Linked DNA regions of Astyanax mexicanus. The protein of the gene in region 2 interacts with the protein of the main gene of each other region in a biochemical or structural test. Links are inferred from orthologs where the notes say so. Each region holds a gene or a part of one and is shown on either strand. Other genes may lie near its edges.

Region 1 (3,755 bases), on a different chromosome or scaffold from region 2:
AATGAAGACAAGGCAAGTTTATCTGTACAACACGCAACACACACACACGGGTCATTTACATTGCTTAACATTAAGAAACATAGAAAAGAGAAGCAAAACAGGAATTAGAAACAGAATTACAATATAGTAATAAAGAAAATAAATTGGTGTTACATGGTAGAAGTAAGTGCAGCAGATGTAAAAGTATGGTGGGACTGTAATCATTAGTTCAGACATTTTATTTGTTGGTATGAAAAGGTTTGGCCACCCCGGATAATTTTCCTGATTTTATTTTATAAATCATTGGTTGTTCAGATCAGAAATTTCAGTTAAATATATCATATAGCAGATGAACACAGTGATATTTGAGACGTGAAATTAAGTTTATAGGATTTACAGAAAGTGTGCACCACTTAGTATCCATTGCTCACCACATAGTATCTGGTGCTCACCACAGTATCTGGTGCTCAACACTTAGTATGTGATTCTAGACACTTGGTATTCAGTGCTCATCACTTAGTATCTGGTGCTCACCACTTACTATCTGGTAGTCACCACATAGAATCCAGTGTTCACCACTAATATGTGGTGCTAAGTACTTACTATCTGGTGCTCACTACATAGTATCTGGTTCTCATGATTCTGTATGTGACGCTTAGTATCTGGTGTTCAACACTTAGTATGTGGTTCTAGCCACCACATAGTATCCGGTGCTCACCACATAAAATCCAGTGCTCACCAGTCGGTATGTGGTGCTTTGTATGTGGTTCTAGCCACTTAGTATTTGGTGCTAACCACTCAGTATGAGGTGCTGAGTACATGGTGCTCAATACTTAGTATGTGGTTCTAGCCACATAGTATCTGGTGCTCACCACTCGGTATGTGGTGCTTAGTACGTGGTGGTCAAAACGTATGTGGTTTTAGCCACTTAGTATCCGGTGCTCACCACATAGTATCCAGTGCTCATCACTTATTATCTGGTGCTCACCACTTACTATCTGGTACTCACCACATAGTATCCGGTGCTCACCCCTCGGTATGTGGTTCTAGCCACTTAGTATTTGGTGCTAACCACTCAGTATGAGGTGCTTAGTACATGGTGCTCAACACTTAGTATGTGGTTCTAGCCACATAGTATCTGGTGCTCACCACTCGGTATGTGGTGCTAAGTACTTAATATCTGGTGCTCACTACATAGTATCTGGTTCTCATGATTCTGTATGTGACGCTTAGTACATGGTGCTCAATGCTTAGTATGTGGTTCTAGCCACATAGTATCTGGTGCTCACCAGTCGGTATGTGGTGCTTAGTATGTGGTGGTCAAAACTTATGTGGTTCTAGCCACATAGTATCCAGTGCTCATCACTTAATATCCGGTGCTCACTACATAGTATCTGGTGCTCACCACATAGTATCTGGTGCTCACCACTTAGTATGTGGTACTCACCACTTTTTTCCTCTTATAAATACACGGTTTCTCTGCAGGGGCTCAGTACAGAGCACACAGTCTCACAGAGGGTATTATCTGAGTGAGTGAGTCTCAGGGCTCCATGTATTATTATTGTTTTTGTCCGGGCTCTGGCTGAACGTCACTTCCTGTTTGTGGCCGTGTGAAGAGCCGCTCGGTGAGTGGAGCAGCGCGCGGGGTTTCAGCGCGATTATTACTAATATTAATAATTACTAATATCCAGTAACCTCGCAACAAACACGTTTAATCAGCGGGGATTCTGTACCGGTAATCCGCCACCCGCTAGCGGAGATCCCGGCCGGGGGCCGGGCGAAGCGCAGTGTTAGCTTTAGCATTAGCATTAGCTCTGTGCCTGTGTGCGCGGTGAAGTTAGGGTTAGTTAGCTTAGCATGCTAACAGGCCGTGGTGTGGACTGTGCCGTACTGAAACCGGTGTAAACGGATTATTTCGGTGTATAGTTGTTCGTTATTTGCTTAGTTTAACGGCAAAGGTTGTTTTTGAGCTGTGTAAACTACTATAGTATGCAAATTTAGTGTTTGGCTCAATTTCTCAAGCTTCTTGTTCGAACTCTCCGTTCCACCTTAAATAGTGCAGCAGCTGCGTTCAGTTGCCTGAGGCACCATTTAAGGTGGAATGGAGAGTTGGAACTGGCAAGCGAATTTGAAGCGAACTTTAGTAACAATTTTAGTTATAACCTGTTAAACACGTTTTGATATGTACTGAAGTCATTTTCTGCTTTATCTCAAGCATTTATAGCTTATAAGTCATGTTTTTCTGCACTACACCTCTTCAGAAAGTCTTCCACTAACCTGAGCTTCAACGATTAGTCAAGAATGTCGACATAGTCCGCAGTGTTGATTTAGCTATGAACATTTTATTCATATTTTTATTAAGTATTTAGTATTTTTTTTTTTACTTTAAAGCTTTTAAAATCTGTTTATTATCCCTTTTTGTCTATACACATTTTCAGGACGTCATCCACTAGTTAGGACTGCAGTGATAAGTCGACATTATCAACAATCTTGGTTATAAAAACACATTCTTATTTTTATAAGATTTCAAGTCATGTTTTTCTGCTTTTACACTTCTTCAGAACGTCATTCACTAGCTAACCTGGGCAGCAACGATTAGTCGACATAGCCCACAGTGTTGATTAGCTATAAACATTAAAGTTGTATTTTCATTAAAGTCATTTTATACGTTAATGATTGTAAATAATTTTAATATTCTTTTTTTGTTTATACACTTTTCTAGAACGACATTCACTAGTTGCGACTGCAGTGATAAGTTGATATAATGGACAGTGTTGACTATAAAAAAACATTCTTGTTTTTGTGATTTTATACCTTGAATCAAGCATTTGAAGCTTTTAAAGTTATGTTTTTCTGATTTTACACTTCTTTAGAACATTATCTACTAGTTAGAGATGCAGTGATTAGTCGAAGTTATCGACAATGTTGATTTTAAAAAACGTATTCTTACTTTTATGTCATTTTGTACTTTAAGGCTTTTTAATTATTTCAATATCCGTTTTTGGTTATACATTTTTTTCAGAATATCATCCACTAGTTAGGACTGCATTGATTAGCCTACATAATCGACAGTGTTGATTCTACAAACGTATTCTTATTTTTACTCATTTTATACTTTTAATCAAACATTTAAAGCTTTAAATTCATGTTTTTCTGCTTTTACACTTCTTCACAACGTCATCCTCTAACTAAACTGGGCTGCAAAGATTATTCGACATAGTCCATTTAGTTCTTGTTAAAGTCAAATTTTAAATAATTTCAATATCATTTCAATGTTCTTGTTATACACTTTTTCAGAACGCCATCTGCTAGTTAGGACTGCAGTGAAACACGTATTCTTATTTTTATTTGTCCTTTTTTTTACTTTAAATCAAGCATTTAAAACTTTCAAGTTATGTTTTTCAACTTCTACATTCCTTCAGAACGACATCCATCAATGGCTGCAATAGTTGACATTGTCAACAGGTTGACATTGTTTAGGTTCTGCCTTTTAGGTTTGTCTGTTAATGTTGTAAAATTCTAATTGTGGTCCAATTGGGTTTAGTTTCAATCTGTACTGTTTAGAAATATTTATGTATCACCTTTTGGATTATTGGATTATAATACCATACTTTCCTTGTTGGTGTGTCCCAGCCAAACTTCACAGCTAATGTTGATGGGAGTATTCAGGCAAGAGGCTGTCAGTCAGGTAGAACGTAAACCTAAGTGCATTTGTGCTAAAAATCTTTTTTTTTATTTTTTTTTAAGTTCAACTTCTTTAAAGCTTTTATAGCCTT
Region 2 (3,755 bases):
TAAGGCAATTAGATCACCACGACAATGTTTAAACATCTACTTTAAAGCCTTTCCGGCAGCAAAGGGACAAAATATTCCCATTAAAATACTTTTTTTTTTTCATAAAGAAATTCATAAAGAAACGTTGAATGAGCCGGTATCCACAAACATCAGTACATACAGCTTTCTTGTGCATACTAATATCACAGAGACAAGTAGGAACAGCAAACTGACACGAATGCAGTACAGGGACTCCCAGTCCGTCCCAAGACAAAACACAAACCACATTAACAAAGAACAATGAGCCGTGTAAAGTATCATGTTCTAACCTTCCACAAGAACCAGGGGAACGTTAGTAAAAGTATAGGCGGACTGGATAGAGAAATGAAGGCACTGAAACGAGCTGGCAGCGCTTTTATCGCCCCACTCGCTTCGTTCAAGAGGAGAGAGTCTACGTGCCTGAACTACTAAGGACGAATACTACGAACACAACAAACGGTATCAGCAACTGGGACACAGCTTTAAACCAGCTCAGACCTTTTTAATATACACATAAAACATCTTTAGAAGAGCCACTAAGAAGATCTTGTTCTTTTCTAGTATTTTAAAAAGTGCGTGTCTGGTTCTCTGCAGGATTTTAAACATTAACGCCAGATTAGAAGTTGGATAACCTAGCTCAATACTAGATAGCTAGCTTAGTTTAGCTAACTAGCTTATGTAGCTAAACTACGGTGCAACCACTATGGTTTCTCATCTTTTTCCCCACTGTTCCTCCAACAGCTTAAACACAATTTAGTACACGTTATATCTTGTATTTTTTTTTTTTTAAAGCAAGTTTAATATGACATATCAGTTGTTGGCTGTGGGATGCCTGGGACTAACTTTGTAAAAAAAAACGTATTTGTTAAAAATATATATAATAAATAGCATGTAATCAAATATGAATAATACCGAGAAATATGACATTAGATAATATTTGTACCTGAAGTGAAAAGTAGTTAAACAATGTGCAGTTTGCATAAAGTAGCTAGCTGAGACCTGAAAATAAGAAGAACATTAATTGGGATATTATGGGACATAGCTTACCCAGTAAATGATACATGAATTTTAATCTTCCATACTTGTGAATGTGTGAAAACTGAAATGATATTACTAATAACTTTAAACTGACTTTTAACTGGGGATTTGGATAATGTTTTGTATGTACATTTTGTAACTAAAATAGATTTTGTGGGACTGAATATATGATGTTTTGTAGCTAGCTAGCTTTTAGTTATATACGGTACTAGAGGAACACTGCAGAATCTTAATGGCCCATTTAAGACTGTTAAAAATAATGTTTTAAAACTTTCAGAGCCTGCATCCACTTTCAGAGCCAGCATCCATTACAAAGAACATTATGTATTTTCTTTATTTTTAAATGTTGTGTTGCACATAATGACTATTTAAAAGCTGTTGTCCACCAGAATAGGCCACAAATCAGCCAATTAACAAGTTTATAAACCAATTAAAACAGTAGCCTGGCCCCGTCCACTGCACTGGAAACACAGTAGCCACTGGGGGAAAGTAACAGTTGATTTGTACTGATTTTACTGTTTAGTGATAGTTTATGAAAAAGAAGCCATATATATATATATATATATATATATAAAGTATTTCACACATTGCAATACAAATAAAAAAAAAACAATTTTGTTAATTGGATTATTTGATATATATATATACATTTTATAATAGCATATTATAATCTTCTTTTTTGTGCATTACAGAAAGAAACAGCATTTTTATTTTTCATTTTTTTTCAATTTTTGAACGTTAATACTTTTTCAGTTATAGGTAGGGACGCAGTCACCCTCTAAACAGTAATACACAACTTCGCTCAACAGACATGATGATATGAGCCTGTATCTGGTTAGTATGGAGGTGTCTGGAAGGGAAACAGCAGGCTAAAGTAATGTGTAGCCACCTAGCCGGTGTTGTAACTGCTCCAACTACAGCAGTGTTACTGGGCTCCCCTTAGCAACTAGCGTTTCCTAGCGTGGATGTGTTATGTAGCTTAGCTACAGCTAAATTAGCTAGCCTTAACTAACTAAATATTTGTCAAACAACAGTGATAAAAAAGAATACAAATTAACTGCCACACAACCGCAAAACAAGCTAACCACAGACTCAAAACATTTTTTTTCATCCAGAAACAGAAAAAAACACAGCCAAGAAATTCACCACACTTTCAGCTAATGTAAATTAACATACCATACAACAAACCTAACGCTAACTAAATAACCTGTTTAATAAGTTAACTAGCAAGGGGAATGTGTGTTTCTTTCGTCAGGTCCCAATAACGTCTTCCCAGCGTTAAAACTGCGCTAAAAGTAACTTTAATCCCGAGTAAAGTTACCGGTAACATGGTGGCTTTTCCTCCTAACCGCTGCTGAGAAGCTTTTAAAGAAAATGTTCGCTAACGTTACCTTGAACACGGCCTCCTCCCGTCCGCAGCTCGCTGCTCCTCCTTCTCCTCCTCCTCACCCACAAAACTGTTCCTGCACTAGTTCCTTCAGAACTGAGGGAAAGTGGCTCAGAAAAGCGTCCACGAAATCTCCGTTCCCTGCTCTGAGACACAAACTCACTTCACAGGCTCTCCTCTGAGTCTTTACCATCAAAAACAGCCCGTTTTCCTGTTGTCTTCCACCCGGAGACACGAGCCAACTCAGCGAGACTCCTCTACTGACCGAGGAACAAGCAGGAGGATCCAGACCCCGCGACGACTCTTTCCCACCCGTATTTCTGAAAATCCCGCCCTCCTCACCTCTGATTGGCTAGCAGTCTCATATCTCTTGCTTCAGGATTGGTCAATAGTTTACACACACAAAAAGACCGCCTTTCCAGCTTGTGTATGAACTAGTAACCAATCCGAACGCCAAAGGCAACTTACTATCAGCCAATGGCAGAACACAAGAGGCGGGACTTTATCTGAATTGAGGTGGGGTTAAAATACTGGCACTATGATAAACTGCATTGATACTGTGGGGATATGTATTAGAAAACAGTCCAGCAGAAAACTGCCAGTCAGGAGGGCGAATTTTTTATGTCACCGCCGACACAAAAATTCAGTTTGTAAACACAAATTTGGAATATTCCGCCAAATCAGTGCCATTTCTGTCCCCAGGAAATGACATGTATAAATACATTTCATTATTGAGCATAGTGTATTGTACATTGACCTAATTCCAAAAGTAATATATTTAATTAAAACCATTAATAAAAACTACTTCGGACACAGAAAAATAGCATTTGTTACCTGTCCCTCACTCTCTAACTATAAACTTTAATTATTAAAATGCTTCAGAGATGTAATTTTTTGCATTGTTGTGTTTAACCAAATCCCATCTATGCTTTAAAAATATTTTTTTTCAATAATAATCCAAAATATTTAAGTTAAAATACACATTTTAGTTGTGTCCTTGGTTTTCACTCATTCCTGTTACCGTAATACATTTCCCCTTCTGAAACATCTGTAACATTCTAACATTCCATTACTGAGGAGGTCAATCTCAACACTCATTCCTGTTACCTAAATTATTCTTGGATCTTATTTGATTATTTTTAAAATACAAATTTTGGGAAAGTCACTAGAATGTTTTTGCTAATTCTATACAAAAACTCAATCATATTAATTTGCCTATAACAGTAGTGAGAGGCAGTAATGGAAAGAGTGCCATTAACAGGAGTGAGTTCCAGTAAAAAGAGTGACAGTAACAGGAGTAAGTATTGTCCCC

The links.
Region 1: the proteins of sh3rf1 (region 2) and akt2 form a complex in vitro, tested with the Homo sapiens proteins (2 studies listed by BioGRID and IntAct, with this or other methods). The link is inferred for Astyanax mexicanus from reciprocal best matches to the Homo sapiens genes SH3RF1 and AKT2.

What each region holds. Positions count from the first base shown.
Region 1 is NC_064416.1:9,373,783-9,377,537, reverse strand, and holds the start of akt2 (RAC-beta serine/threonine-protein kinase), read left to right. Parts: upstream 1-1,506; 5' UTR 1,507-1,604; intron 1,605-3,755. UniProt on the Homo sapiens protein: Serine/threonine kinase closely related to AKT1 and AKT3. All 3 enzymes, AKT1, AKT2 and AKT3, are collectively known as AKT kinase.
Region 2 is NC_064408.1:51,217,553-51,221,307, forward strand, and holds the start of sh3rf1 (E3 ubiquitin-protein ligase SH3RF1), read right to left. Parts: upstream 2,739-3,755; 5' UTR 2,448-2,738; intron 1-2,447. UniProt on the Homo sapiens protein: Has E3 ubiquitin-protein ligase activity. In the absence of an external substrate, it can catalyze self-ubiquitination. Stimulates ubiquitination of potassium channel KCNJ1, enhancing it's dynamin-dependent and clathrin-independent endocytosis.